4 linked regions of the Arabidopsis thaliana genome follow. The protein of the gene in region 3 interacts with the protein of the main gene of each other region in a pairwise test. Each region holds a gene or a part of one and is shown on either strand. Other genes may lie near its edges.

The links.
Region 1: the proteins of SK13 (region 3) and AT5G45360 interact in a two-hybrid assay, tested with the Arabidopsis thaliana proteins (2 studies listed by BioGRID).
Region 2: the proteins of SK13 (region 3) and TLP6 interact in a two-hybrid assay, tested with the Arabidopsis thaliana proteins (2 studies listed by BioGRID).
Region 4: the proteins of SK13 (region 3) and EID1 interact in a two-hybrid assay, tested with the Arabidopsis thaliana proteins (2 studies listed by BioGRID, with this or other methods).

The regions. Positions count from the first base shown.
Region 1 is NC_003076.8:18,381,886-18,390,620, forward strand, and holds AT5G45360 (F-box family protein), read right to left. Parts: upstream 4,987-8,735; 5' UTR 4,786-4,986; coding exon 4,723-4,785; intron 4,406-4,722; coding exon 4,202-4,405; intron 4,120-4,201; coding exon 4,046-4,119; intron 3,933-4,045; coding exon 3,857-3,932; intron 3,707-3,856; coding exon 3,596-3,706; intron 3,512-3,595; coding exon 3,337-3,511; intron 3,254-3,336; coding exon 3,077-3,253; intron 2,969-3,076; coding exon 2,898-2,968; 3' UTR 2,604-2,897; downstream 1-2,603. Other genes in the region: AT5G45350 (proline-rich family protein), read right to left, coding at 215-453, 675-969; UMAMIT1 (nodulin MtN21 /EamA-like transporter family protein), read left to right, coding at 6,526-6,740, 7,002-7,064, 7,151-7,267, 7,359-7,800, 7,974-8,125, 8,241-8,397.
Region 2 is NC_003070.9:17,322,930-17,331,439, forward strand, and holds TLP6 (tubby like protein 6), read left to right. Parts: upstream 1-3,626; 5' UTR 3,627-3,898; coding exon 3,899-3,919; intron 3,920-4,035; exon of another isoform or gene 4,036-4,113; coding exon 4,114-4,157; intron 4,158-4,228; coding exon 4,229-4,559; intron 4,560-4,633; coding exon 4,634-4,721; intron 4,722-4,802; coding exon 4,803-4,935; intron 4,936-5,010; coding exon 5,011-5,635; 3' UTR 5,636-5,799; downstream 5,800-8,510. Other genes in the region: GAMMA CA2 (gamma carbonic anhydrase 2), read right to left, coding at 12-155, 304-418; AT1G47265 (uncharacterized protein), read left to right, coding at 1,639-1,869; AT1G47271 (Cystathionine beta-synthase (CBS) family protein), read left to right, coding at 5,927-6,148, 6,679-6,760, 6,932-7,005, 7,101-7,161, 7,272-7,414; AT1G47278 (uncharacterized protein), read left to right, coding at 8,334-8,348, 8,436-8,510.
Region 3 is NC_003074.8:22,159,861-22,167,065, reverse strand, and holds SK13 (SKP1-like 13), read left to right. Parts: upstream 1-3,464; 5' UTR 3,465-3,507; coding exon 3,508-3,972; 3' UTR 3,973-4,152; downstream 4,153-7,205. Other genes in the region: SPL12 (squamosa promoter-binding protein-like 12), read left to right, coding at 1-39, 126-692, 779-1,210; SK5 (SKP1-like 5), read left to right, coding at 1,761-2,222; QWRF6 (QWRF motif protein (DUF566)), read right to left, coding at 4,298-4,366, 4,494-4,601, 4,695-4,784, 4,869-4,985, 5,076-5,195, 5,285-6,136. UniProt on the Arabidopsis thaliana protein: Involved in ubiquitination and subsequent proteasomal degradation of target proteins. Together with CUL1, RBX1 and a F-box protein, it forms a SCF E3 ubiquitin ligase complex. The functional specificity of this complex depends on the type of F-box protein.
Region 4 is NC_003075.7:1,066,909-1,074,822, reverse strand, and holds EID1 (F-box family protein), read right to left. Parts: upstream 2,343-7,914; 5' UTR 2,269-2,342; coding exon 1,258-2,268; 3' UTR 1,044-1,257; downstream 1-1,043. Other genes in the region: AT4G02450 (HSP20-like chaperones superfamily protein), read left to right, coding at 1-38, 146-273, 367-502, 724-836; SR34b (RNA-binding (RRM/RBD/RNP motifs) family protein), read right to left, coding at 3,457-3,538, 3,937-4,166, 4,240-4,287, 4,406-4,455, 4,585-4,642, 4,731-4,777, 4,856-4,991, 5,083-5,157 and 2 more; AT4G02425 (LYR motif protein), read left to right, coding at 6,160-6,832, 7,177-7,292. UniProt on the Arabidopsis thaliana protein: Component of SCF(ASK-cullin-F-box) E3 ubiquitin ligase complexes, which may mediate the ubiquitination and subsequent proteasomal degradation of target proteins.

The sequences.
Region 1 (8,735 bases), on a different chromosome or scaffold from region 3:
TACAAAAATCTTAAAACAACACACCGAAACCAGAATCTGTCATTATAAAGCCAACGATAGCTTTAAAGTACACAATAAGATTTGATACTAATTAAGTTTCAATTATTCCAACTCGAACCAGCAATCTAACCGACGAAAGTCAACTTATATAATGTTTAGGGCTTATTTGAAACATTGGTCAGTCCAGACAGATTCACAAAAGGTATTAACTAGATCACTTCCACTTCTTGAACTTGCCTCCTCCAAACATTCCATGCTTCCCATGCTTGAACTTCCCGTGCTTCCCATGCTTGAACTTACCATGACCATGACCATAGCCATAGCCATGACCATGGCCAAAACCGTGACCATATGCAGCATGTCCGTAAGGACCGTGAGAGCTATGAGCTACGTGGTGAGCTCCATAGGCAGCTGCAGCACCTGCAATCATACCCCCAATTCCTCCTGCGTGTCCTGAAACAAGTATAAATAACAGCATGAATAAAGAAACCAAAGTGACATTTAACACCAAATATGATACTAAATCTCAGATTTTAGCAATGAACATACAGACAATCACAAAACAACATATAAACAACTTCTCCTATTTTAACTTGTTTGTACAGTGACCATTACAACACTTAACTGGCAAACTACATGGGAGAAAAAAACCATTAGCAAAAGAAACACAGTACCTGAGTGATGAGCAGGATAGCCAGCAGGAGGGTAACCACCATGACCAGGTGCAGGAGGATAACCTCCATAACCAGGAGCTGGAGGATAACCACCATAACCAGGGGCGGGAGGATAACCACCAGGAGCAGGTGGGTAGGCACCCGGAGGATAACCTGCAGGCGGGTAAGCACCGGGTGGTGGAGGGTAACCTTGTTGTGGGTATCCAGCGGGTGGATAAGCCCCAGGGGGTGGGTATCCAGCGGGAGGATACCCATGAAACCCTTTGTCTTTGTCATTATCATTGTCACCTCCCATGTTTTCTCAATCAGTAACAAAACCTACGAAAAGATACCACAAGAAAACATCAATTTAGGTCACAATTGGACAAACCAAGCATGAACTTCAAGCTCAGGGGATCATGCAGGAACACCAAACTCAAGTAATGAGATAACCAAGCAATGTAATTAATCACTGATTTTGGTCAGAGATCAAATGCAGTTAATCCCAATCATATTGCACAAACCAAACATTAACTTCAAGCTTTCATCAAAGAATCAAGTACACCAGAGTCAAGTAATGAGATAAATCAATCAAACTGCACAAACCAAGCCTGAGTTTCAAACTTTCTTCAGGGAATCGAGCAGACACACCAGATGAGAAATCAGATGAACCAGCAATGTTATCACTCATTGATTAGGTCACAGATCAATCTCCAGTAAACCCAATCAAATTGCATACACCAAGCTTTAAACATCAAGCAGACACAATATAAATGAGATCAATCAATAACACATGACAGGTAAATCAAAGAACTCGAATTTAAGATCCTAAGCATAAGAAAGTTCTATACTTTATCACTCACCTCGAGAGAGCCAAACGAATGTGAACAATTAAAACCCAATTCGCTAAATAAAAAACCTCAATTCATATTTTTGTTTTGTTAAAATCGTAAATATACCCATACACATGGAGCAAAACAAACAAAAAAATCAAAAATTTCTAGGTTTTCAGCAGATCGAATCAAGAGAGAAGACAAGCTTAAAGAACACAGATCAGAAGAGCGAATCGCTGATCAAAAATTAACGATCTAAAAGAAAAAAAGATGAGTTTTTTTTTACCTTAGACGAATCGCGAAATATGTCGAAACGAAATTGGAAGAGAAAAAAATAAGACCTTATAGGTATTTATACATGTTTCTTACGCGGTACGATTTCCAAAAAAGATATATTTTTATTTTTAGTCCTTATATTTTACTATGAATCACAGGCTACACTTACGTTGTCATAATTAACAATGCTATCCAAATTTTCAGCACGAAGGACGACACATGTAACACTACCAATGTTTTGCTTATAGATTGAATATTTTCATGAATTGTTTGTTGTATTTTTTCAAATTTGGAACGGTTTTTAATTTCTCGTGGGGGTGTTTATGAAATATATTAAACTGTGGGGGCAAAGGAGAGAATTATGAGAATATTTTCCAACGTAAATATTTTAGCGTTGCGAGAACGCGCAATGGACGCGTGATTCTGTTTACGTAGGAGATAAGAATGTCTTTTAATTTGCACTTTCGCAAGAGAATCGAATCCAAAAAATTCTTATTAACATTAATTGAATTAGTACATATTTGATTTTAGGCAATGTCACATTGCCAATGTGTATTAATGAATTTATTTAATAATAATTTCATTTTTCTAGTTTTGCTTATGCTTATCTCACTAAATACTAAAATTTTCTAAATCCATTCATACTTTATACTTATCTATAAAATCAAACATTTATTAAGATTATCAATTCATTTTTCATTCAAACACATCAGTGGTGATAATTGATGTATAGTTATTAGAATATATTGCTATAAACTTCATTTTGAACTAATCATCGATTTGTCATCATAATCAGTTCTAACCAGGACAAATTTGTAATATGGTTTAAATGAACAAAGAATGGCTATAAAAATTAATGAGAAAACCAATATCGGGAGCAAATTACTAGTTACCAATAGGTTTACTGATAAAGTTGGAACGTAATTACTAGGTGTAACACTTTTTAAGGACAATGTTAATCACATACAATGATATATATGTATACGTTACAAAGCTGACTGATTAAAACAAGAGCTACATTTGATTCATTTCAACTCCACAGAACCCAGGCAGAATCAGGTCAGAGAGAGAGAGAGAGAGAAGACCTTACAGAAAGTAGGCCTTATGAAATTGGACAAAAGGTCGAGACTTTTGCTCAGCAGAACCTCAGGGTACGTTCCAGTTCCTGCTCATCATCGCAGTTGTAGCCAAGTTCAAAAGCTCGGGCTGCGATGAAAAGAAGACGCAAATAGTTCACTTATGTTGGAAAATAAAAATAATATTTGGAAAAGGAAGTGTGTGAGAGATATGAGAAAGAGATAGATAGATGTGTACCTAATCGGCTTTTATCTGTGAATACTTCAGCTTCTAGTTCAGCTTCTTCCTCATAACACCCATCTGCGTCTGGCTCAGTTTGTACAAGTAAAGTATCAGAACAAACTCCTGAGATAGTACACACCATGAGGTCACCCTCTGGACTCAGTATTACTTCCTTGCAGTTATCATCGCATACTGTTATAAAGACCATAAAAACTATGTAAGTTTAGAGTAAAACACAGTAACAAAGTTACATTTTACAGCATTTCATTACATACCATGAACATTTCCCGTCTCTTTGCATATGAACACGTCGTCAATCTGATGGTATGAACATTTGGTTCCCAAACAAATATGGCCAGTGACAGCCTTATCAGTAAGTCCTTTGCTTTTCTTCCATAGAGAAACTTGTTCAAGTACAGTATTGTCAAGAATTATCCGGTCATCCACCATCTAAAAATTGCAAACAAGAACATGAGAAAATTCTTCACGTGATGATTTGTCCTAAAACATAAACAGATAATTATAAATAGTTACCTGGGACGGAAGAGGTGCTTGGCTTCTCTTTGCTGCTTGCATATGTACGTAATACTCCTTGAAATCCGACGGACAGGTTCTGACAAGTTCAATCATGTCCTGTTCATCACGCTAAAATTCGACAAGAGAAAGGAATCACTTAAAAATATATATGATCTGACTTCTACTAGCAACGCAAACTAACACTGTATATTCTTCAGCAATGTAATACTACTTGGAAACATCTAACAAGTTTATACGAAAAACCAAGGAGAAACTCACATCAATATAAAGCTTCTTCCAAGCAGATTCACGTAACTTTCTACTTGGAAGAGTTAGACCCCACCGGATACAGTACCTGCATATAAACAAAAAACAACCAATAAGATCATCACATCGTTTTTGAATACAAAGTATTGATTTTGAAAACAAGATTATCAACGACAATAAGGGGTACAAGAAGAGGCTTACAGGCGACGCCATAAGGATTCATCAGCCGCAGCAAAATTGAGAAATTTACAAACCAAGGAGCATGATACAAGATCCTGTAATGACATTCAAACAATTTAGTTTAAAAGCAATCCTCAAACATCAATAAAGTTCGAGTTTGAACTATATAGTATATACCTCCGAAGATAAGAACTTGAGAATATGACGAAACAGCTCAGTAGGAACATTGGTGAAAACTCCACTCTCTATTCTCTTTGCATCAGTTTTATCTTTGTTACCATTTTCCTTTTGATCTTCATCCTTCTCTAGAGCCTTTGTTTCGCCTTTCTCAATACGTTGCCGTTTTGCCTCAGGTTCTTTCGTTTCTTCTTTATCCTCTACCTACAAAAACCAAAGCATCAATAAATAATCTAACCTTTCACAGGACAACGCTGAACAAGAGCAAAATCACAATGGACATCAATCGAAGAACATGAACAAAAATTATGTGATTTTTCAAAAATTTCAAATGTATGCATATAAGATCAAATTTACAGATCAAGGAACTGAAGTTATCAAAAATGAAAAAAAAAACTAGGGGAACGGGAAAATCTCGACAGAATTTCAGATTCAGCTACAAAATTCAAAGATTGATGGAGAAGAAATTACTAAACCCTAAATGAAATCGAAAATTTGAATAAACGGAGAAATTTTTATACCGATGAGACTTCTGATTCGAGGAATCGAGCGAAACACTCATCTTCCTCATCGGAAACAGACATACTTTTCAGTCGGTGAAGATCAAAGCTCCGACGACGATGGTTGCGTTTATGCGGCCAAGGAAAGGATTGGAGAGAGACAAGACTCGAGAGGGTTGGCGTTTGGAATCGGTGGCGTGAGATTGGAGACGACCTCGGGCCGAATAATTTTGATAAATGGGCTAATAACCTAAATGGGCCATATATTAATAAATAAGCCCATAACACTAACCCTCCTCCTTGTCGTTAGCGTCATTAATACAAATTAGCTTTCTAAACGTGATTAAATAACAACATTTTTCTGAATTATTATTACGAGTTAACGACGTTCGAACTACTACTATAATTAAATTTTCTTAAAACAGAACATTTGTTATTGGATCAGCAACTACTTTTTAAGGAGTTTTTTCATTTAAGGAAATGTTATATTACTAGATCCACTAATCGACATAAATAAAGGCATATTTTACCAACTTCAGTATTACACTGTAAAAATTAGGCCTGGAAGTTCGGCATAACCCGTTTAAACCGAACCGAACAAACCGACGATTTCGGTTTTCGGTTTCAAACCGATTTTCTGTTGTAAATCGTTCGGTAGAATTTTAAATTGATTTCGGTTTTCGGGTTTTTCGGTTCGGTTCATCAAAACCGATCGGTTTTGTTCGGATTGGGGAGATACCTTTTAAAACAGAAAAATCCTAGATCTATCACTTCATCTTCTTTGTTTTCTAAACTCTCCTCTTCACGAACACCTTTATTTCTCCTCATCTCTAACCCATTTTTATCTTTTAACCTTCTAATTCTTCCTTATTCCTCCTTCTTCTCCTTGTCTTCGTTCTTCTTCTCCACCTTTTAGGTTCGCAGAAATATTCTATTAAGCCACCGCGACATCGATCTTCTCTGGCAATGATTTCATGGTTCTCTACATCTTTTCTCACCACCGCACAATACAAATCTATTTTCTCTGTTTTCAATGTTCTTCTTCTTCATCTCACCCTTGTTTTTCTTTGACGGCCGTCATTTCCAAAAAATAAAACAAAACAAAACCCTAGATGGGTGTGATGGGCTTTTCTTGTCCCTGGAAAAAAAGAATTTGGGTTTTGAAAAGTTAAAAACCGTCATGGGCTTTTTGACTTTACTTGTCCCTCAAAAAAAAAGTTTTGGGTTTTTAAATGTCAAAAGCCGATATGGGCTTTAAAAACAGCCCACTATGCCTAATATTGTGATCTAAACTGATTAGGTTAACCGATTAAAAAAAATTCGGTTTAATTTCGGCGAATTATAAATCCTAGTAACCGAACCGAAAAAACCGAGTACCGAACCGAACCGAACCGAATTTTTGTTCGGTTCAATTCGGCAGAATTTTTGAAAACCGAAAAACCCGGAAAACCGAACAAACCGAACCGTTTAACCCGAGTAAACCGAATTTTTATATTACACCATTTTTTGTGGAAAATTTTCATATTTTTTAAGTAGGATATATGAGCATATTTAACAAATGTGTTAATCTGTTAGGCTTCAATGTGTATAAGATTTAAGAAAATAATCTGGCAAATTTTTTTTTGCCTCAACTTAACAAAAAATCATAGTTAACAAATTGAAGAAGACCAACGACTACAATGACCAGAGAAGTTTTTTTTTTTTTTGGAACGAAAAAACAGAGAAGTTAGAATTACAATTTACAGAGCAAATCAAAGGATCTCAATTTCTTTAGTCAACAGGTGTTCCTTCTCTTCTTCCTCGATTCGGAGGTAGAGAAGAAAAATGGCAGCTCCGGCGATCCTAAACGGCGGCGATGCGACGGAGAGAGAAACACGAATGGCTCACTCTGCAATGACATTGGTTCAGGTCATAAATGGAGGATACCATGTGGTTACGAAAGTAGCTCTTAACGTTGGTGTAAATCAGCTCGTTTTTTGTGTCTTTCGCGATCTTCTTGCTCTCTCCATTCTCGCACCTCTCGCTTTTTTCCGTGAAAGGTCCCTTTTTATCTTCTTCTCAAAATCTCTCTGTTTCTTTATCCTTTTGCTTGAATTGCTAAAGTCTCTGAAGTCTCTGTTTCTGATTGTTTTGATGAGTTTATATGCGGCAAAATCAGACAAATAGTTTGATCTCTCTGGAATTGGAATTAGGGTTGTTTTTCTTTGTTAATTCTGGTTCTATTGTTTAATGATGGATTGCAATTTTGTGTGACTTGGATTTGTCTTTTGATAAAGATTTGCTCTTTTAATTTCTTGTAGAACGATCAGACCTCCTATGAATAGAAGCATCTTCTTTTCACTCTTCTTTCTTGGTTTAGCAGGGTAAAGTAATCAGCTTGTATCTCTTTATCTTTTGAATCATGCTAATGAAAGATTCTAATAACAACATTCAATCTCAATCTTGATAGGATATTTGGGAACCAGTTACTATTTCTTATGGGTTTATCTTACACGAATCCAACTTATGCTGCTGCTATACAACCATCAATCCCTGTCTTTACATTTCTCTTGGCTGTCTTGATGGGGTGAGTATGAGTTTCCTCAACATTACTGTAAAATGTGAAAATTTGTAATATAAAGTTTCAATCTTTTGATGGTCTTCTTCTTTGTATACAGTACAGAAAAAGTGAACTTGTTGAAAGTCGAGGGCCAAACGAAAGTTGGAGGTACTCTTGTTTGTGTTTCGGGTGCTATAGCGATGGCTTTGTTTCGTGGTCCAGCCTTGTTTGGAGGTAAAGATGCAGCAGATTCAGTGAAAAGTGTAATTATTGATAGAAGTCAACCAGAGCTTAATGGGTGGTTAGTCTCTAGTTTTCTTGGTCTTGGGTTTGATCAATGGCACATTGGAGTTTTATGTTTGATTGGAAACTGTATGTGTATGGCTGCTTTTCTCGCTGTCCAAGCACCGGTTTTGAAGAAGTATCCTGCCTACCTTTCGGTTGCTGCGTATTCATACTTCTTCGGTGCATCAATAATGATCACAACAGCTATCTTGTTTGTTAGAGAGCCTAAAGATTGGAGCTTAACACAATCTGAGGTTCTTGCTGTTATATTCGCAGTAAGTTTTCACAACCGAGATGTAATATGTTTATTTGGGTGTGTTTGTGTTTTGGAGCTTGAGCTCAAATCATTTGAACTTGAACTCAAAAAGATTGGAACTCGATTCTGTACATACGGATTCATCTTACTAGTTTGTGTTTAATTGTTTTCTTTTCGGTTTTTATTCCTCAGGGAGTGTTTGCCTCAGCTCTAAACTATGGACTCTTGACTTGGTCCAATAAAATTCTTGGAGCTGCTTTGGTTTCCCTATACAATCCTCTTCAGCCTGCAACATCGGCCTTTTTATCGACAATTTTCCTCGGCAGCCCGATCTATCTTGGAAGGTTTTTAAATTTTATGCACTCTTCTTTGTATCTTTGATTCATCCAGACACATACAAACCTTTCTGTCTTCTTGTATTGGATCATATAAACACCTTGGTTTTTGTTCTCTCCGCAGCGTTTTGGGTGGAATCCTCATCATTTGCGGGCTTTATATGGTTACTTGGGCATCTTACAGAGAGCAACAAACAACATCAGCTGGGAATGAGATTGCTTCTTCTAGTGATGTAAGAATCTCGGAACCTTTCATTTACAGAGATGAGACTGGTAAATAAATAAGAAAAGGTAAAGAAAGGATACTTGTACCGTTGTACGTAGTTAATATCAGACAAAAACTTGACAAATCATACAATTTTTTCGAGTTCAAACATTGATTCTTTAAACGGTAAATAATTCAAAATAATTACTTCGCCTCTTTTTTGGTAATGCAAGTTCAACTATGGAAACAAATCTCTATTTTTATTTTAAGAATTGGTTGTTTCAATACGTTTTTTAGTTGGGTGACAAAGAAGCGTATATTTTAAATTCAATCTTAGATAAAAGGAATCAAGAACACTTAAAAAGTCATTGTACCTAAAGACAAGCACGATTAACAAAAAGGAAAACATTATAT
Region 2 (8,510 bases), on a different chromosome or scaffold from region 3:
TAAAGCCTCACCTCGAAGAACACAGCCATACCAAATCGACGAGCCTTTTCCGATCTGAACATCACCAATAACAGAAGCACTCGGAGCCACAAACACATCTTTATCCACCAATGGTGATTTATCAAACACATTCATCAACGTCCGATGCCTCGACACTGAAAACAAACACAAATTTCTCGAATCAAATTTTTTCAATCTAAGCCACAAATTTCTCCAATCAAAGGTGAAGACACAAATTAGAGATAACGAATTGGATCTAGGGTTTCAATAGAGAGTATTAAGTGGAAGGATCTGGAAGCTTACGATGTTCCTCGATACGGTGACTTCCTTGAAGAAGAGAACCAACGCGATCAAGAGCTTGACCAGTTCCACGAATCCAGTTACCCACAGTGTAAATTGCTCGTCCTAGGGTTCCCATTTTTTTGTGATTCTCCGATTACCCAAAGTGTGAAAATGAGAAGGCTTTGTTGTTTTTGGTGTCGCTCCACCAGATAGAGAGAGGTTTATGGAGGCGTATTGATGGGAGGATTTTTTTTTTTAACTCGAGTGAGTTCGTTTATTTTGTTGACCTCTAAATTTTTAGAGTATGGAGTGGTAACTGGTAAGCTAAACCAAACCGAAATTTATTGGTTGGACTTACAGAGATTGTGAATACAAAATCCGGATAGATTCGTTTTGCAATGTAAGGAGATGGAACAAAGCTTTCAGGAGACAAACACAAAAATGAGTAAAATAATTAATATAATTTAGCAAAGAAAATAAAGAGATAAAAATAGAGATATTAGCTTATATTGTGCATTGGATATTGGAAGTATTGCATAAAGCAAAGAAATAGTTTTTAGTATAAGGATTGGAAAAAACATTGTTTGTATCTAAAATGGGGTCAAGAATGTAGAAGATGGAGTTTCTTGGGTGTTTTTCTTGGAGTTATACTAGAAAGAAGTCGGGCAAGTGATATTTACGCGTGGGCGATTTCTCTCTCAAATTTTTTTCTTCTTATAATCACAATCTCTTGTTCCGTCAATAAGTTTTTTCGTTGACTCCAGCGACGAAGAAACCCATTGGGACATGGTGCTTCAACCGTGATCCGCTACATCTTCTCGGCAATTCAATCTATTCAAAATCAAGGGAGCAGTGGAGGGCAAATGCGGCATTAGGGGAGTGCAAGAGGAGCAATTGCACAGGATCCAAAAATTATTTGATCAAAATTAAAGGGTAAAATAAAAAAATTTATCAAATTTGAGGTCAAAAAGATAATTTTGACTAAATCTGAGGGCCATAATAAAATTTTAACTAAATGTAAGGGCCAAACTCAAAATATTTAGTATAAAAGGGCTAAATTTGAAAATTTGTACAGTGACAGAGAATATATTGAGTTGGCCCTGGTGGAGGGGAGAAGATTATGCGAGACACTGTCGGTAAGAGCTATATCGGTGGTGTGGCTTCACGGAGAGGAAGGATGAGACTTCACAGTGAAGAACAAGGGCTGACGGCGGTTAGGTCGGAAGTCTAAAGATTCTGGAGGTTTCATTGGGTCGCCGCTTGATGGGGGAGGTCGACTCCGCTTCGGTGAGGCTTTACCACCGTCGATGGTCTTGAGATCTACTCACTACTGCCGTCAACTCTCTCGACTGAGCTATGAGATTCATGACTATGGCAACCCGGATCGCCTCTTCCTCCTCAAAACTGCTCTACGGTGGCAGGAGGACAACGGATCCTGAATTACCATCTCCGTTCGACGAATCTCGTCTAGGCTCCCCAAAGGGTTTCTGTTCCGGTGAGATTCTGCAATTCTTGGACGGCGGCTCAGATCGTGTTTTACGATATGAGATTAGGATTTTCAACTTTCGGTTTAGATCGGTTTTGTAATAGATGGTTTAGTCTGGTTATATGTAAGTGGATTGAGTCTAAGGGAAAATGTATGAGCCTAAATCCGGAAATAGTCCATTGGACCTTATTTATAACATTGAAAACCATTTTACAAAAAAAAAGATGGAGTCTCTTTTCTTAGGGTCTCCACCTCTCTTTATAGTCTTTTCCTTCCTCCTATGTATCTTTATTTGGCCATTAGGTACATATCTAGCTCATAAAATAACTCTCATAATTAATTCGTAAACTTGAATGGCAAGTTTACTCCTTAAACCATGACCATTAATTCATAAATTTAATCACAAATTAATATCAAGATTTAACCACCTTTCTTATGCAAGATGTACATTCTTTGCTCTGTAAAGTGATGGAACTTGGATGCGTAAGATGGATTTGTCGTGCGCGATCCGGTATCAACATAAGCTTGAGTTCTTTGAGTAAGGTTATTTGCTTGAAGACTAATATTCTTGTAATGCTGTTGGATATGAATTTGGATTAAGTAGTTGCGAGGTGACCTGACAAATACGCCGTGAGAAGGACTTAGTTCAAGTGATTGCGAAGTAAACCCAACTTATGCATCATGAGATGAGCTCGGTTTGAGTGATTTGTGAGGTGGAATCGATATATGTGTCGCGAGCTGAAGAGAACATCGAATATGCTCTTTCCGAGTTGGAGCCTTAATCCTGAAATTTGTAACGAAAGTTGGTTACTAGAGGGGATATTTTGAGCCTTAGGTGGTTTGATGCCACCGACTAATAAAATATTTGCATGATACTTAGAGTATGCTATGAGTTTTTTTGTTTTCATTGTGAGGATAAGATCTCGAAAAATTGTGTCTACAAATGTGAGTATAATCTACCCTTATACTCTGTGAATTCAACTTTTTGGGGTAAGGTTTGTTTTTTTGGAATGTCTATAGCTGCTTAGGAATCATAACTCCTTTTAGTGTTTACTGCTTTTGGCTGAACAATCTATCTTGGATTGTTTCGAGTTACTGTCCTTTTTAGTTTTAAGTGTTGCAGTTTGATGGGTATAAACTTGAAGGGTTTATAGGACGGTTTCAATCTTCTACTACTACTTATGGTTGGTTGATACGTTGGTAAGTAAGAAGCTCTCTTGACATAAGCATAAGATGGAAGCTATAAGTTCAGATGCGAAACTTAGTTTTCGTTTCCTGTTCTTATTGAGAAGTCAAGATGTTTGTCTTTCAACACTGCTGCCAGGGCTTCTACCTTCTCCTTTGGTAGTTGATCTTCTAGCATCCTGATCCTTCTGTTTTGTACATGAACCTTGATTCAGTCTTTTAAAAGTTCATGTTCAATCTTTTTATATAGACGTCTTTGTAATGTGTAATATCATCTCTGTATCATGGATGTTTGTACAATATTTCATATAAATAACAACACCTTTTGGCAAAAAAAAAAACAACATCAAATTCTTGTATTTACTTAGTTACATATAATTCAATTTAACATACACAATAAAATAACCTGATACGTAATATTTCTTATTATTAATTTCTTTGTAAATTTACTAAAAATTTAAAATACACCTTCAAATATCATATTTCGTGCCAATTAATAAAATTTTAAAAAAATCCAGTTGTAATTAACTCTCAAAAAAGCAAAAATTATCAGCTAATAAATAGTTTTACAAAAAAAAAATCCTATTTTGAGTAATTTACTAATTTCAATTGAAAAACATGAGCCGCGCTTAGTCTTTTTCCGTTTTACTAATTAAAAGAAAAAAACCCATCTGTCTTCTCTTTTTCTTCTTCCTCCTCGAAATCATTGCGGTTACTGTCGTCTTCCTCCTTCCTCTCCTCTTCGGAATCGAAGCTCACGACGGCGACAGTAACGGCATCGGAGAGGTGTTGGTGTTGGTGGTTCATTTAACTTAACATTTTCGAGAAGAGAAGGCTTTTAATTTCAAATTCCTCGCTGAATTTTTCTTCTTCTTCTTCGTCTTCATCGGAAGAAGAAGAATCCAAAAACTTATCTCATCTGCAGAAATATAATTGTGCTTCCCCATGGATTTGTCGCTTTTGTTGGTAACAATAATTCTCTCTTCCTCTCTTTCTCGTTTCTCGATGTTTTGTTTATTTAAAACTTTCTCGAACTCTTCACGATATTGCCGGAGAAGCCGGATCCATGCTCTTTTCATGATTTTGCTTTCTCCAATGAATAAAGTTTCTCTTTGGTGAATACTGAGACATTTCTGTTGATTTACTTTGTTCATCATCAGCCAAAACGGAGCTGGGAAATTTCTGGGGGAGCAGATAAAATCAGGTACAAATTAGGGTTTTTGATTTGGTCTCTCAAACTCTCAATTACAGAAATTATAATAGTTTTGTTTGTAGCAGAGTAGCAATGTCATTGAAGAACATAGTGAAGAACAAATACAAAGCTATTGGTAGAAGAGGGAGGTCACACATTGCACCAGAAGGATCATCTGTGTCTTCTTCTTTATCAACTAATGAAGGTTTAAACCAGAGTATTTGGGTTGATTTGCCTCCAGAGTTACTTCTTGATATAATCCAAAGGATTGAGTCTGAACAGAGTTTATGGCCGGGGAGGAGAGATGTTGTTGCTTGTGCTTCGGTTTGTAAGTCATGGAGGGAGATGACTAAAGAAGTTGTTAAAGTTCCTGAGCTCTCTGGTTTGATCACGTTTCCGATTTCTTTAAGACAGGTTTGTTACTCTTGACCAGTTTGTCTTATAATCGATTATCATTGTGTCTAAAACATTGGTTTTGTTTGGCTTAGCCTGGACCTAGAGATGCTCCAATTCAATGCTTTATTAAACGTGAAAGAGCTACGGGGATATACCGTCTCTATCTTGGTTTAAGCCCTGGTTAGTTTTACTAGTTCACCTTAAGAACCTCTTATGAATTGAGTTTGGACTGTTTTATATATCACATTCGTCTTCTTATAGCTCTTTCCGGTGACAAGAGTAAGTTGTTGTTATCTGCAAAGAGAGTCAGGAGAGCGACGGGTGCGGAGTTTGTTGTATCGTTATCGGGGAATGACTTCTCGAGAAGTAGTAGTAATTACATAGGAAAACTGAGGTAAAGTCTTCTTCTTTTTGTTCTATATGATCACCATGCCCATCTATTATAAGTCTTGTTGTGTGTGGTGGACAGATCAAATTTCCTGGGAACGAAGTTCACAGTCTACGAAAACCAACCTCCTCCGTTTAACCGAAAGCTCCCACCATCGATGCAAGTGTCTCCATGGGTATCGTCGTCATCTAGTAGTTACAACATAGCTTCAATCTTGTATGAGCTGAATGTTCTGAGAACCAGAGGTCCAAGAAGAATGCAATGTATAATGCACAGTATCCCGATTTCAGCGATTCAAGAAGGCGGCAAAATCCAGTCGCCAACGGAGTTCACAAACCAAGGAAAGAAGAAGAAGAAGCCGCTGATGGATTTCTGCTCAGGGAACCTGGGAGGAGAATCCGTTATAAAAGAACCATTAATTCTGAAAAACAAGTCGCCGAGATGGCACGAACAGCTTCAGTGCTGGTGTCTAAACTTCAAAGGTCGAGTCACAGTCGCCTCGGTGAAAAACTTCCAGCTAGTGGCAGCTGCTGCAGAAGCAGGGAAGAACATGAACATACCAGAAGAGGAACAAGATAGAGTGATATTACAGTTTGGGAAGATAGGCAAAGACATTTTCACAATGGATTATCGTTACCCGATCTCTGCATTCCAAGCTTTTGCTATTTGTTTAAGCAGCTTCGACACGAAGCCAGTCTGCGAATGAAGCAAAACATATCATATCAAATTATATTCTTCTATTTGCAGTTTGTGTGGTTTAATGTACATACTTTTCCCTCTTGGAGCAATCAAACAATCAGATCTTTTTTTTCATTCTAAAAACTTTAATTTCTTCTTAATTTTTTAATTAAAAGTAATTAACGTTTGGTTAAGGTAAGGTATGTTTTAGTCTTTCATTGGAAGCAAAGAGTCATCACCTTTCCTTTATTACAAAACCCAATCTCTGTTTCATTTATTTTTGCAAAAAGTACAATTTTGAACCTAATAAGATTATATAATGAAAGCTTTTGTGAGAGGACTATTAGCAAGAGCTAATGAGGTCCCAAAGATTCATCAGAGGAAGGTATCGGCCGGTTTTGGTTGCTTAACTTCGCCTCCGCCGCCGGAGAAAGGGTTGGAGAATCTGACGGTGGCGGATGTGCTCTCCACGAAGGATACTGACATTGATACGTGGATCTCGTGCCGTACGAATGACACTGTTTCTGACGCTGTTAAAAATGTTCGTTCAAACTTCTTTCTTTTTCTCCGTTTTTATTGTTTGCTCATCACGTTACACACGCATCAATTAGTACCCATGAAAACGAGATTTTTAAAACAATGTATCAATTTTATGGCATTAGTTAGCTTAATATGTTTTTGGGGTACAATTCTTTACCTTTGGACATTTAAGCTGCCATAAGTCTATAAATCTCGAACTAAAAACTCATACAAGAACTATTTTATTTACTTATTAATGTTAGGTTCGTTGCCTACTCCACGTTGTTCTATGTCCCAGCTAATAAAATAAGACGTGATTAATTTCCACATTCGGTGCAATATAATACCTATATGTAGTTTATGTCAATGTGTCATGTATACACGTATGTATATGTCAAATTGTAAATCAGACCAATGTTTTCGAGATATATTTCTATTTTATGTATAATAAGTAAAGCACACATATTTGTATATTATGTCAATTTGTCATGCATATATAAGATATATGCGTAGACCACTAATCTCGTTGGTCGTGTTAAAAACAAAAAACAGATGGCAAAGCATAATATTGGATCGTTGGTCGTGTTAGAACCTGGAGACCAACAATATATAGCAGGAATTGTCACAGAGAGAGGTATATATAAGCTTTCTTTAATAATGTTCTTTCTACGGAAAAATACCAAAAAAAAGGAGTTATGAATATGATCACCCAATACCTTGAATGTTGTAGTTAACAGTTAAAACACACAATTTATTAAGAAGGGTTCTTCATTTTGTGACTAATTATCATCACAAAATGAAACAGACTATATGAAAAAGATCATTGGGGCAGGAAGATCATCAAAGCTTACAAAAGTTGGAGAAGTTATGACAGACGAGGTCAGAATAAACAAAAGATAAAACTCTCAAGTTAATTTTTCATTTTGTAAATTTTCGTAATTTTAAGTAAAAGAATTGGAAATGATTTTGGCCAGAGCAAGTTGGTTACTGTTTCATCTGGGACAAACATAATCAAAGCAATGCAGCTTATGTCAGGTAATTTACTATATATACTTACATATATATATATATATATATCTAATCCAAATTGTAAATTATGTTTTGAAATTGACAAAAGAAAATTGTGTTTTTTTTAAATGATGTAGAGAATCACATAAGGCATGTACCGGTGATTGACGGAAAGATAGTGGGACTGATCTCTATGGTTGATGTGGTTAAAGCCATTGTGGACCATCAAAATGGAGAGCTCAAACGTTTGAATGAATTCATCAAAGGAGACTATTACTAGTTTAGAACCCTAGAAGAAGCAAAGCTTCAATAATACATACTATCAATAACTATGTAAATACAGTTAATAAAGGACTAATTATTTTAACAGATTCCCTAGTCTAAGTGATTATGAGCATAAGCCGATTACGACTATAAGAAGTTAGCACTTAGCATAAAAACATTTAGCGCTTAAAAACATTTTTAGAGTCAGAACATATTTATGAAACTTTAATTTAGAATATCAAATAGTATTGTCGATTCGATAGTCTACTAAAAACCATAATTATCTTACTAATCACCTTTTAGGGACTAAAAAAAGTTCTAATGATCTTGTAGATAATTCATCCTGTCACCTTTTAAGTGTGATGATTGATGAATGATTCTAACCAAAACCAAAGAATACTAGAAAAGTATTTTCAATGATCGGATTCTTTACTGGGCTCAAAGCCCAATGGGCTTTAATAATAATAGGGTTTAATATTATTATTTTTTTTGTTGGGTCTAAGGGTTTTGTAATTTCGAAGCTTCTCTCTCTCGTTTCTCAATCTGCGATTCACCATTTCTCTCGTCTCGTCGTCTCTCAGAAATCTTTGTAAGTGCTTCGTTCCCCATTTCTCTCTGATTAGATTTTGTGTTTGTTCGTTTTGCTTCGATTCTGCGATTTTTGATTTGCCCAATTAGATTCGATTTCGTTCTATGTTCGGATCTGAGACCATTTGTATGTTTAATTCTTCTTTGATTTTGGCTTTGATGTTGATTCCGATCTTGGGTCTTTAAGTGTGTTCATCATTTGTTTTATCTTCTCATATGGTTTCTACAAACTTCTCAACGTCATAGAAATGTATAATTGTTAGTGTTTCGTGGGTTAATCTCAATGTTCTTACTTTCTCTTGTTGTTTAAAGGCCTAGGATTGAATCTGTCGACGAAAATGTGATATATGAGTGTATTCAGGGTAAGGGTAGCTTTGTGGGAAACTTGATATGATGCTGCAGATTTGATTTACTACTGTTTTTTTTTTTTATGGTTTCTGGTTCTTTAGTTAGTTGAGAGAGCTATAATGGGGAGAAAGGCTGGAAATTTGTACATAAACCCGAAAAAGCTCGGGAATTTGGCG
Region 3 (7,205 bases):
TGTGAGATGCCTATTGCAAGTGGTCGAGGTTTCATGGAAGTAAGTGTACTTTCAGTTTCGTGCTCTGCGTTTCCTGTTGTTGCAGTGATATCTAAACGTGAGATTTTTGCTGGCCAATAATCTAGATTGAAGACCAAGGTGGGCTAAGCAGTAGTTTCTTCCCTTTCATAGTATCTGAAGACGAAGATATTTGTTCTGAAATCCGAAGACTCGAAAGCACATTAGAGTTTACTGGAACTGATTCTGCAATGCAAGCAATGGATTTCATCCACGAAATCGGTTGGCTTCTACACAGAAGTGAACTCAAGTCAAGACTTGCAGCATCAGATCATAATCCAGAGGATCTGTTTTCTTTAATACGGTTTAAGTTTCTAATAGAGTTCTCAATGGACCGGGAATGGTGCTGTGTGATGAAGAAGTTATTGAATATTCTATTCGAAGAAGGCACTGTTGATCCATCTCCTGATGCTGCGTTATCAGAACTGTGTCTTCTTCACAGAGCCGTGAGGAAAAATTCAAAACCCATGGTTGAGATGCTTCTTAGATTCAGTCCCAAGAAGAAGAATCAGACATTAGCCGGTTTGTTTAGACCCGATGCAGCTGGTCCAGGCGGTTTAACACCGCTTCACATTGCAGCTGGTAAAGACGGTTCAGAAGATGTGTTGGATGCCCTGACTGAGGATCCTGGAATGGTAAATTTGAATTTGATTTCCCTCTTTGACTTATATAAACTCAAAATCTGTTTTTGTCTGATAAAAAATCTTCTTGTTTGGTTCAGACTGGTATTCAAGCCTGGAAAAATTCCCGGGACAATACCGGATTCACACCAGAAGACTATGCACGTTTACGAGGTCACTTCTCGTATATTCATCTGGTGCAACGGAAACTCAGTCGGAAACCAATCGCCAAAGAACACGTGGTGGTCAACATTCCTGAGTCTTTCAACATTGAGCACAAACAAGAAAAGAGGAGTCCAATGGATTCTTCAAGCTTGGAGATAACACAGATAAACCAATGTAAGCTCTGTGATCACAAACGTGTGTTTGTCACAACGCACCACAAGTCTGTTGCCTACAGGCCAGCAATGCTTTCGATGGTAGCGATAGCAGCGGTTTGCGTTTGTGTCGCTCTTTTGTTCAAGAGTTGCCCGGAAGTGCTATATGTCTTTCAGCCATTCAGGTGGGAATTACTTGAGTATGGAACAAGCTAGTAAAACTTCCCTATACCAGACATTGAAAAAGAATCTTCTCAATAGAAGATGTGTTGGTGTGAAATCTACGAGTGTAATTTTATGTAACGTTTAATTATTTTTACTAGAATATGTATCATTCAGCTTTACAAGATTATATGTAATGTAGCTTTATCTGATGTTAAACCCCCGAATTTGTATAACTACGTTTTTGTGTGTTTGTTACATTTTGTACTTTGTCTTTGATGGCAAATCTTGAAGTGAGTGAGAATAACAACAAATCACATAAAACACCAACCAAATCCTTTTTTTCTTTTGACATTTAATCCATCTCGATCAAGTTTTGGGCCGAATCTACGAAACTGGGCCAATTGTAAAATTCGACCCGGTTCAGCTTGGTTTACTCCACTGAAAATGTTGATCCCACCGACTCTGACAGTTGGAGCTTATAAATACACAGACGCATAGATTCATAAGTTCGTTACATCATTTTTCTTCAAATCGCTCTCTAAATTCTTCTTCAATCTTGTTTCATCAACCTTGCTTTCCAGAGAAAAATCGCTCCATAACAATGTCGACGAAGATCATGTTGAAGAGCTCCGATGGTAAATCGTTCGAGATCGACGAAGACGTGGCACGCAAATCAATCGCGATAAACCATATGGTTGAGGACGGCTGCGCCACTGATGTAATACCGCTTCGAAACGTCACAAGCAAGATTCTCAAGATTGTGATCGATTATTGCGAGAAGCACGTCAAGAGCAAAGAAGAAGAAGATCTCAAGGAGTGGGACGCTGATTTCATGAAGACGATCGAAACAACCATTCTCTTTGATGTTATGATGGCTGCGAATTATCTCAATATTCAAAGCCTTCTTGATCTCACATGTAAAACTGTCTCGGATTTGCTCCAGGCTGATTTGCTCTCAGGGAAAACTCCAGATGAGATTCGCGCGCACTTCAACATCGAGAACGATCTAACAGCAGAGGAAGTAGCTAAGATTCGTGAGGAGAATCAATGGGCTTTTCAATGAGAGAGCGGATCATCAAAGTTGTTGATGCAAATCTACGTAGCTGGTGACTTCGTCTATATCGTTTTCTTCTTTAGTGTGTGTGTGTTTTCAGTTTTCTTTATGCTTCATGTAGATTGATGACTAAGACTTCGTCTATCTCTTGTTTGTTCGGTGTGTTTCTTTTGATTTCTTGGTGTGCAAGTCAACCAATGTTTGTATCTTTGCTTTAGAGACGAATCGTTTGTTGGATTTTGGTATGCTAACCAAATCTTAAGATCGATGTTGTTAAGAGTCTTTCTTTTGTTTCTGAAGCAATTCTTGAATATATGTGAAGTCAAATCTTTTTCTCATTTTCTTACTGTAATTGAGTTTTCTAATCCGAAACAGAGTACATGACACTTCAATTTCGATATTCAACTTGGTTATTTTGGTTTATATTCTTGTATCGTAATCAGACCGATGTAAATGGTCAAGATTGAACAATCAAAAAATAAAAATAGTGTGAAAGTTTTACTCTGTAAAGTTTTTGTTCTCTTTGCGACAAAGCAGGGGTTTTCTTTTCATTTTCTCTTAAGAATAAGGTAAACGTTTGCTACTTTTGAGATTATCATCAAATTTGATTTGGGTTATAACCTCTACTCAAGCCTACAACTATATAAAATTCGAGTCTAAAGAAACAATTTGGTGGATTTAATGAAGAAAAAAATATGGGATGATTCGATATGAGGTGCAAAATGCAATCATTATGGTATTAAACAGAGGCAGATATGGTTTGGATTTATTAAAATTTGGCTATATCAAGAGGGAACACATGATAAATTTACGTGACCATAATTACTTTTCTTCTTTTCTTTTGTTTTGAATGACATAAACAAAATTTGTAGATATTTTTCTTGCTTTCGGAGTTTTTTAAAATATGGAATATACACATGTAACGTTTTAGAAAGTTTCCATTTTTTTTTCTTTTTACCTCTTTTTTGTTGGTTCACTCGTTAAACTCTTGTTACAATTGTATTGAATTAGAGCCGTTCATTATGACACGTAGATTCGGATCTGATTTCCTTTTTGTACCGAAATTAGATCAATTGGGACTAGATCCATCAAAAACCCGGTTTAGGATTGGTTTACTCAACTGAATTTTCCTTTTAGGTTAAAATAGTAATTTCATCCATTATGAAAAAAGGCAAGAATTATACCGACTCTCACAATTAGGTCTCTCTATAAATACACACCTTTTGATATCTCTCCATCATCGAAAACCTTGTAAACAAAAATCGCCACCACAAAAAGAAAAAAGAAGGAAACGATGTCGAAGATGGTTATGTTGCTGAGCTCCGATGGTGAATCTTTCCAGGTCGAAGAAGCAGTCGCGGTCCAGTCACAGACGATAGCACATATGATTGAAGACGATTGCGTCGCCAATGGAGTCCCTATCGCAAACGTTACAGGAGTCATCCTCTCGAAGGTGATCGAGTATTGCAAGAAACACGTCGTTTCTGATTCACCAACCGAAGAGAGCAAAGACGAACTCAAGAAGTGGGACGCTGAGTTCATGAAGGCCCTGGAACAGTCGTCGACTCTCTTTGATGTTATGCTGGCTGCGAATTACCTAAACATAAAAGACCTGCTTGACCTTGGTTGCCAAACTGTTGCTGACATGATCACTGGCAAGAAACCAGACGAGATTCGTGCACTTCTTGGCATCGAGAACGATTTTACACCGGAGGAGGAAGAGGAGATTCGTAAGGAGAATCAATGGGCTTTTGAATGATTCTTTAGTTTTCTTTTTCGACGTTAGTGTGCTTTCTGATCTTCTTTATCAAGATCAATGTCTCGTGTTCTTTTTTCTTTAGTTTGTTTCCGATCTCTTGAACAGTGTCTTTTGTTCTTTCTTCTCTTGTGTGTATGTGTGTTTTCTTGATCAATGTGACTTCGTTATTGTCTTTTCTAATTCCTTTGGAGATTTATATGCTTGAGCAATTTTTAAGAACGATGTTGTCAAAAAGTCTTTTTATTTTATTTCTGTATAATCTATAATCGATTTTAATGCTACACTCATTCGATATAAATCTCTTTCAGTAGAACAAGAGTTGTGCTCATTTAGAAGATGACTCTTCTTTTGTTGTTTGCTGGATAAGTTGACTTCTCATAGAACATTCTTCAATCTGCAAAACATATATATATATATATATAAAGATCTTTTAAAACTCTTATACAAAGGAAAAAAAAAGGATGCACGATGATCATAAAAGTTTAAAATATTCTCAACTTATGTAAAGAAAGGTTGAGTACTTGTGAAGCTTGCGTTTTAAGAAGAGCCACAACGCAATTTTCTGTCAATGATCTTTCACTTCTAGCCACTCTTGTTAATTCTGACAACAAACTCTCCATCTCCTTTGCCTGCAAAATGTATTATCAACAAGGATTCTGATATACAGTCAATCTTCAATAGAAATAATAAAACCCTGACATTGATACTATTCTTCTACTAACCTTTGGCATATAGTTTCCAACATTTTGTGTAATGCCGTCAACAATCTTTGAAGCAGCCACAAGTCCATCTCCTAACTGTTTAGAATCAACCTGGTTTTTGACAAGCAAACTCTTAGTTGATACGTACATGCAGATGATTCTTCCTAGTTGATATTACTCATGAGCACAAGATACCATGATATCCCCATCGAGTGGAAGCCGTAATGAAGCATTGGAAAAAGCTTGGATTGTTTGTGACACCGAAGTCGAATACTCTTCTTCAATAGCAGACCATTGCTCCAAACATGGAGTCTGAAATAATGTGAAACATTTTCTCATAAGTCTCATATACGTTTATGTGAGAGTCAATAATATGGAAGTTTAAAGTATCTTTAAGCTTACTTGAGATTCTGTAATCGCGAGAAGAGCTTTAGTTTTCAATAAACGTTGAAGCTCTATGCGTTTCCTTTGCACAGAATCATGTAATTCTGATATCTTGGAACCAAAGGAATGGATCATGGTCTACAAGATAAAACAAAACACCATTAAACATAAACAGAACCTTTAGTTCAAAGATTTTACCATAAAAGCAGACCATCAGAGAAATTAACCTCAGTTTGTGTTTTATGAGTTTGAGTCTTCACTTGTGCATTGGCGTTTGCAAATCTCCATTGGAGGTAACGATTGTGGAGCAGTTTCAGAGAATGCACATCTTCCAATTGCTCTGTAACCTTCCTCTGTTTTTTAGTATCCGCTGGAACCTTGGGTGCCATTGGAGGCAATGGCAAGCCTAAACGTGAAAACGAACTGCTCTCACGAACGTTACAGCTTGAAGATGGTGAACTCACAGATCGATTAAGAGAAGAAGGTACAGGATTGTTGAAAACTTTAAGATGAGTTCTACAAGAAAGTGTTGGAAACTGATCTGAGCCGTTAGATTTAGGTTTCTCCTGAATGTTGATGATTCCTTCTTTCTCATAACAGGCTGATATGCCGCTTAGTTGGAGAAGTCTCGTTGCAGTTGGTAATCTTTGTTGGCTTAGCCGTGATCTAGACGGTGGAGGAGGAACCATTGGTGTAGGAGTTTCGAGCCGGTGAGAATTCTCGTTGAGCGGCTTCAAGTGACTTGGTTTCGATGATTTTCGGCTTTGTGAGAGTGTAAAAGGCGAGTCTAGGCTACGCGCCGCCGTCTCTGATGAGCGATTCTCATCTCCGTCTGCCATTTTTAACTGACGTCTAAGTCTCTGAGCAGAAACAGAGCGTTGAATCTGGTGGTGTTGAAGGTGGTGCTGCTTTGGAGAATTACAAGTCAAAGAGTGGAGATCTCCGGCGGAGGAAGAGGATGAAGTAACCGGAGACATGAATCTGGAACTTACTTCTCTAACTCTTGGCCGCCGCGTTGAAGGCGGAGGAGCCGGTGTTGATGGCTGAATTTGCTTAGGTCCGCTGGTTTTCGCCTCCATAACTTTTTCGAAATAGTCGGAGATTCAAGTGGCCACGAGGATTCGTCACGGTCTTCAAGAGATTATAATTGGATTTTTGAATTTAAGCCAACACTCGGAGAAGAAGATACGTTACGGTTTTTTTTTTTTTGAGAAAATGAGCCGTTGGCTTTTGGTCACAATCTCTTTGTCTCTGTAACGCCACATTAATTTTGTTTTTTCATAGTTATTAAATTAATTAATTTGTCAATTAGTGTAATAGAAAACCAAGCTCTTAAGAAACTTGTTATAGTACATTGAACACGTTCTTTGAAGACAATGAACAGGAATTTCAAAGAGTTTGTAGAGATGAAATTGTTGCAACTGGTTACTATATTTATGTTTTATGTGTCGGGTGAAGATTTCGAAGGCAATGAAAAGGCTGTTTGTTGAACGATTTTGAAGATCTCAGTTTTTTTTTTTGTTTTTTTTTGTTTTTGAAGAAGACTAATTTGTTTTTTTTTTATTGGTTTGGTTTTGTTGCGTGATGTGATAATGTGACTGAGAAGAGTAACAAACAATTCTGTAGATTTCAGAACACAATGATCAAATAACTGAGAAAACATTTCATAGGGTTACAATATCACAAGAAAAAACGAAAAAATAACATAATTATGAAATAAAAAAATAACTATATGTCTATAGCGATGTGACATTATTGGGGTCCTCTCCATTTTTATTGCGGGTATATAAAATCCAAAACCAAAGCTAGATAGATGCGACAATAACAATTCCTAACATTACGGAAGTTGTGATTACCATTGAAAGACCGAACTCCATATTGTCTATCTTTTTTTCTCTTGTGTCTTTTGAACAAGCTTCTTCCGTTCTTCGTATATATACAAGTCGTAATTTCCTTATCTCCGCAACTTGGCAATGAATGTGAACACAAGTTAAAAAGTTAACTTAACAAAAAAATCAAAAGCAAAAAAGAATATTTAACATAACAGTAACATAGCAAATAAATCCTTTAAACGTGTGGTAGCCGCAAATCATTTAGAGAATATGTGCAAGAAACCAAGCCCGACCCATAAATAAATTTTGGTAAGGC
Region 4 (7,914 bases), on a different chromosome or scaffold from region 3:
GGACAAGTGGGTTGATGAGGACGATGAAGGCAGTGCTGGTTAGCATTCATCTTAACGCTTATATTATCTGTTCTTGTGTACACTCTCTGCACTTTATATAAAGTTCAGGATGTGTTAACTTATTTGTTTTCTATGTTATGTTTAGGTGCCGCAGATATGGATATGGCAGGAATGGAAGGAATGGGAGGAATGGGAGGCATGGGCGGCATGGGAGGAATGGGTGGAATGGGAGGAATGGGTGGAATGGGAGGAATGGAAGGAATGGATTTCTCGGTTTGTTTCTAACTTTTGATTGTCCTTCATTTTGTGCTTCAGATATACCTAGCTCTGAGAAATGACCTCATACTTGATCCTTGCTTCGTGCAGAAATTAATGGGTGGAATGGGTGGAATGGGTGGAATGGGCGGACTCGAAGGGCTCGGTGGAATGGGAGGCATGGGTGGAATGGGAGGCATGGGTGGTATGGGAGGCATGGAAGAGTTTGAAGACAGTGATGATGAAGGTAATACTTTTGAAGATCTTTCTCGTTTATGTTTGGTCACAGCCTCCTTGAAATGAAAGCATTTCGCCAGAGTTGATTGACTTTGTTATTGAAGTATCTCATATTCCATATGATATGCCAAGTACTCTGTCTTAGGAAACATTTTGCAGATTTTTGTGTTTCTTTGTTCCTCAACAAAATGCAGAATTTTGAAGTAATGAAACATTTTCTGTAAATTGCAGAAGAGACAGCAAAATCAGGAGACAAGAAGGATGATGCCGTTAAGGAGGAAGGTCTTGCGACAGAGAAGGCACCAGCGGCAGAAGAAACAACATCTGTTAAGGAAGACAAGTGAAGACTCTGTTCTAGAGATGATGAAAAACCATATGGTATTATTAGCTTTTCAGGTTTATGAAACCCTCTGAATTACTTCCTCTTTTATATGAATGTTGTTGGTACTCTGTTTTCTTTCTATGGATTTGATCTTGGTTTAAGTTTCTTCTACCTTTTGTTTTGGGTTATATTGTTTCCAAATGTTCTTGGACTTGAAATTTTTGGCTTTGACGTAAGAGTTTATGCATTTGAATCGAAGTCTAATATGTTGTCAACATTGAAACAAAACAACCACAATATGTTGAGCCAATTTTCTTCAACCATTACTTAAACATTAACCAGAATTTGAAACACAATGACACTATTCCTACAAATACATCAAACAAGATTGAGACTTGAGACCGTGGAAGAAGAATGAAAGACCTGTCCTCTCTAGTGAGCTATCAAGTGTAGAGAGGTAAAGCAGTCCAAGCACCAGAGACATGACCATTCTCACAAACATAAGCTCTCACAACTGGTTCACCATCATCATGAAACCCAAACACTCTTCTCAAACAAAACGATGAATGCAAATCCCAAGTCTCATCGCACAAACAAAACGCGCATTTCAAACCCGAGGTCTTACTCCGATTACCGTCGTTTATCGTTCTCCAAACTCTAGACCTTTTGAAATCCTTGAAGACTCCTCTAAACAACATGTAATTTCGTTTCTCTTCTACGTGAATACACCCAGGCCAATTGCAAATGTAGAGACAATCACCTCGGAATCTACTCGCGAGAAGCTTGTTGCCTTGTTCACGGCTAAGGTTCCAGCCACCGGAAGCTAAATGAGATCCTAGAGATCGACAAATCTTCCTTCGTTTCCTTACCGGAAGATCTCGTCCAGGTCTGATCTCACTCGTTTCGATTTCTTCTTCTTGATCGTCGATTGAATCTTCGGGAGGAGGAGCGGGAATAGTATCTGTGTAGAGATCATCATATAGAGACCAAAACGAAGTCGTTTCTAAACCAGATCCAACTGGTTTCGAAACTTCTTCGTCGTTAAGAGCTAGATCCGTCGTAGTAGGTTTCGGATCGAGGTTTTGATCGGGACCTAGCTCACGTTCTAAACCGAAATCGGAGTTTTCGAGGAGAATTCCAGCGTGGAAGAGACCAGGACAACAAACAGCGAGTTTGTATAAAGAAGCCCAACCACCGGGAGGAGTAAGAGACGAATCCGCCGCGGTGGATGAAGAAGCGGATGCGGCGGCGGAGGGAGGAAGAGGGAGGAGATCGGAGATGACGGTGGGGATAGCGGAGTAGCACTGAGTTTTACAACAAACGTTTCGAACAATTGAGGAGAATTTGGTGCAGACGCAAGCGAGACGAGCCCAGTTTCTTGGATCATCTTGGAGCTTGAAGAAGATGTTGAAGACTACGTCTTCTGGTATACAAGAGAAGACAGATTCCGCCATGGATCGCCTTCTTCTCTCTAGGCGGCTCCTTTCTTATCCAAATTCACTTATACTGTTATGGGTCCGGTACGCGTAAACCGGGAATAGTCTTAACTGTTCTTAAGGTGGGTCACAGATTCACTAACACCCACACAAAGGCAAGTAAGTAATGCGCAACAGCTCTCGAAAATGACATCGTACGGACTGAACTAAAATGTAAAGGGTCCGGGTATCAAAATGAGTTCAATGCACATGTCTTTTTAGGTTCATTTATTGTGAACGTTTTCAAAATTTTAATATCGAATTGTGAGCTTTTGAATTAAGTTTGGTATTCGACAGTAATTTTTGATAGTTCGTTTTAAGCACTAACTATATTAGCAAGTCATATAAATCAGCTGAGCTTAGCTCATAAACTGATGATGACTGAGTATATATCATTCCCATGTGCAAACCCAAGCTAATAAGAATGAAATACACAACTAGTTTTTCAACTTCTCATACATAAGAGAGATCATCTTTATGAGAATCTTCCAACAGACCCAGCTTTTTACCTGATATGAGATGTTTCTTTACCTGTAAAACAGTTGGAAAGAGATTCAGAGAAAGAGTGAGAATGTTCCAAGCAAGTTAAAAAGAGTGTGCATTACCGAGATGGACTCCTGCTTCTGCTCTTGCTCCTACCACGGATAGGGCTCAGCTGCTTGCTAGGGCTCTTACTTGCTTCCTTCTGAACCTGCAACACACACAATTCAATCCAGATGATGAGAATGTAATTAGCTAGACATAGATCATGTCTTTTGGATAGTATGGATTGAAAACCGAAAATATTGTGCTGATAGTATAGCGGAGTAAAAAGTGTATTAGAGATAGATGACTTAGAGAGGGTAGAGGAGATCTTGACCTTGAACGAGATCTGCAAAAGTCCGAGAAACAAATCCAGTTTTAAAAATCCAATATTTCCGTGTTTAATAGCTGTTTCACCAAGACCCTTGATGCCTCATTCCATGTCAGACATCAAAACACAATCACAAGAAGCAAAAAAGAAAAAAACATATCTTCAGACTATTTCTAGCAGAAAATCAAACCAACACAAGCCTGCTTTTCGTTAAAACAGATGGTAGAGATGGAGAATATCAAAGCAAATCTAATTCTATCAAACCCTGTGTCCAGAACAGCATCGGTTCCATGAGAATCCAGATCGCTTGTCGATTAGCAGGTAATGAAAATATCTGTCCTAGCTCGATGGGTCCATTTTGATGACACTATATCAATGCGATCCAATGTCTCTCCACTGTTACCCATCTAGCAGCAATGGATATTATCAGAAAACGAACTTGCCCATCTAAGAAAGAGCATATACCTCTGAGACGAAACAGTTGTGTACAACCAACCAAGACATCCATGATCCAGATACTATTTCCCATATTTTAGTTGATTGTATGTATATCCATATCTAAGAAACAAAACCATTCTCAACACTATAATTATAAAAGACCAGACTTTCAAAGGAAATAAATCGTGTACCCTTAACTAGAAGCAATCATCATTCTCAATCAACAACTCGGAGTCATCCCAGTGACATCTTTTAATGTGATGTCACCAAACTTCAAGGGAAGAGCTAAATAGAGCCTATGTTATGTTTTATGTTGGATATTTTAGCATAAACATTATAGAAGAAATGAAGCATACCCTCGTGGAGACAGTGACCTCGACTTAGAGCGGGAGCGAGAGCGAGGAGATCTCGATGTAGATTTTGCAGGCGATCTACGCAAAGATTTAGCCTTTGGACTTCTGCTCTTGCTCCTGCTTCTGCTGCGGCTACGACTACGGCTGGGACTCCGTCCACGGCTGCGGCTCTTAGAATAGGATCTTCCACGGCTGGGGCTCCTCGAATCCCTCCTTGAATCATATTCTCTAACCTGTAATGACATAGGGAAATGTTAAGTGCAATAAAAACGAATGCAGCTCTCAGAATTCTTGTCTTTAACATACCCGAACATATTCATGAGAAAACGCATTCCGAAACTCTGTGTCATCGAGCTTTTTTTATCTGGACAAAATAAAGAATATAATCATGAGTAATCAAGGATGAACACATTCTCAGCCACAGTCCCACACAGAAAATCAAATAATATGAAGAGGAAGAAAAACATCTCACCGCATATTTCATGTCCTCGTAGCTGGTATAATCTACAATTCCAGTTGTACCTGTAAATAAATAGTCCACGATATAGATTTTTTAAAGCATGCACAGACTAGTTAAAACAGGATTTAAAGGCAGAAAACCCAAACAGCTTTAGACACATCTCTATTCTTGGGTAAGACATGAGGATTTACCTCTACCATCACGAAACACTTGAGAAAAACAAACTTCTCCTCCTTTACGCATGTGATCCTTCAAAACAAAGTGATATGTCAACATTCAGAAATCGTAGAAAATATAGGAACGACAATGAGGAATCTGTCCACAACTGTGTAATCACCTTGAGGTCTTGCCAGGACGCAGATGAAGGCAAACCTGACACTACAACTGTATAGTGGAAAATCTTAATTTAGTGATTTCTCCTAAAACTTATGAATACACTAAAGCTAAACATATCATATGTACCGCGGTACTCTGATCTCCTAGATGGTCCACGTTCACGACCACCACCGTCACCACCACCACGACCGCCACGACCACGACCACTATAACTACCGCGTGCATCATGTGATGAACGCCTCCCACCATGAGCTAGTTCCACCTGCAATGGCCAACACACATAAATTATGTTTGGCTACCAGTCAACAATACAAAGTTTGTGTAAAAATTCTGAAATTTGATGATTAACAAACCCGTAAATGATGCCCATCAAAGTCATAACCATCACGGCCATAAATTGCATCATCAGCATCACGAGCATCCTCAAACTAAATCACATATATCACAAAACATTAGTGGTAGTATCTCCCAACATTTGAAAACTCATGAACACTCAACAACAACGAAGAGCCTAACTGTAAAATCAACAACAAGCCTTTATAAAACATGTGGTTGCATAAAAAATCTGACCTCGACGAATGCATAGCCTGGAGGCCTCGGCGGAATCTTCAAATCGATTTGAACAACAGGTCCATACTTCAAAAAAAATAAGGAAGAACAATTCTTAAGGAAACTTCTTCCAAATAAAATCAGAATCCAACAATTCCGAAGATGCATTCAATTTCTTTCACATGCAAATCTTGTAAAGACATATTCATCACATAACACAAAATTCGATCCTGAGTTCTGAGTTCTTAAATTAGGAGAAACGAGTAATTTACCTTACTGAACAAGTCTTCAACTTCTCTTTCACGGATATCGCCGGGAAGGTTCCCGACGTAAATCGTTCTACTCGAACGGCTGCTCATTTATTTCTTTCCTATACCAAAATCAAAATTGAGATTCGAAACGTCAATAGATCGAAACAAAGAAGCGATCACACACAAAAAAAACTCATTGGATAACGATTAACCTAAGGAAAACTAAAGAGGTTTGATTGATCGTCTATATATGAACTAAAATTCCAGTAACGATTCCGATCACCTGAGAGAAAATTCCGATGGAAGAGAAGAAGAAAGGCGAAAATTGAAATCTGACTAGGGCTTTCGAATACCATAGAGATCATCACGTGAGTCACGTGACCGACCGGGTACGTATTAAAATACATTGTGTCTTGACCGTATAAAATACATTTGACCCGTTTTGCAACAAATCGTAATCTTCAATCAAAAGCTCTTAAACCCAAAAGAACAACTCCAAATCTTCACTACTCGATATTCTCAAAGAACTTGAAAACAACACAGATCCATTCCCAATTTCAGATTCACTCAAAAGGATTTTTCTTTTTTCATTTTCGCTTTTTGTGATCTGGAAAGTTGTTACCTTTAACAATGTCTCCGAAACATCTAGAGTCATCACGAAGCTCTATTGAATCATGCACTTCACAGCTTCTCTCATGGCGACCATTTCACCGCTCCAAAACCCTAGACTCATCTGACCAACCACCGCAGACCAATGGGTTTCACTCCTTTACTCCCAAACGCCCTTGCTTCTCCGATCGATCCACTTCTTTCACCATCGAAGCTATGAGCCGTCTCTCACTCGCCGACGACGACAATGGAGGGAAGACATTATCAGCTTCCAATTACAGCAATAGAGGAAGTTTCAGGTTAGTAGCGAGGAAGCGGCGGCGGCGTAATTCGAGATCGGTGTCTGGTCGGAGTAGTGATCGGAGTGGGACTCGGAGATGTTGCTCCATTGGTGCTCATGGGACTTGTTCGGATTTGCCTTTCGCTGTTGGTACAGATTCAAGTGGAGAGCTTTTTGGTGAAGCGAATTGGGCTTCTGATGTGAGTGAGGCGGCGAGGAATTCACGGAGAGAGCGGCGAGATTCTGGTGGAGAGAAGGAAGCTTCTGGTGGATTTGGATTTGCTAATGGAGTTGATCCAATGGGGAATGAATCTGGGTATGGGAGTGAGCCTGGTTACAGAGGTGATGCTGAGTTTGGCTATGGTGATGAATTTGATGATGAAGAAGAAGATGTCAAGCCATTGTTTTGGGGAGGTATTAAATTCAGAGACTTTTTATAGCAATTGTGTTCCATCTTGAGATTCGTGGTTTTTGCTATGAAGATTTGGAGATTGATCATCATTGATTAGATTAAAGATGACAACTTTAGTGTTATTTCTTCTGATGAAAATGAGTCTGATTTTGCTCTGCTTGTCTATTATGGCATTGCCTCATAGGAATTGTCAGAAAGTTGTCAAATTTGGGTTAGGGAATGAAATAATGATTGTACATTGTGGAATTGGGTTCTTATCATGTTAGGTCATTGTCTGAAATGGATATGTATGTACTTGGTATTTTGATATGTTTAGTGATTGGTGAGTGTTTTGGATTTGGAGCAGATACAGATTCAACAATGGGGATGTCTGGTGAGACGAAATTCTCAGATAGTAAACCTCAATTCAGGTGCCGGCGAAGAAGACAACATGACTACAAAACTGTTGACTCCATGAGATGAACATAACAAAGACATTACTATTCAGTTATTCAGTAATGTCTCCATGAGATGATGAACATAACAAAACTGTTGACTCCATGCTCATCCACCCTCATGATGATCCGCAGACATTCTTACCGAGTTGTTTACAGATACCAAGAGAAGAGGTCTTATTGGAGAAACGTTAATATGTATTTGTCCTAACACCTGAAACTGTAAAGAGCTTTGTCAAACATTTTTTTTATAGAAAAATCTGTGCCCTTTTTTTGGTGATATGGATGTCTCAAAGATTCGACGATCTGGAGAAAGATTTACGAAAACCACAATGCGTGTATAGCTGCACAAAAGACCATTCCGTTTACGGAAACCAAGTTGGTGACCTTCATTTGGGACTCTGTCGCGGAGAGTATATGTAGACAAATGTAACTAAAAAAGACAACTATGATTGTTACTCTTGCTCCTTTATTATATGAATCAGAATATGACACAATTATTTGCAATTGATGGAAGTTAAAAGAAAGACTTAGTCATGACTCTCTGTCCTTGTGCAAATAGAATGCCGTAGTCACGAGGGTGAACAATTATTATTTTTTCCGGATAGAGACTTGATAGTACAATTGTGGTCCGAATTAAAACCAAGATA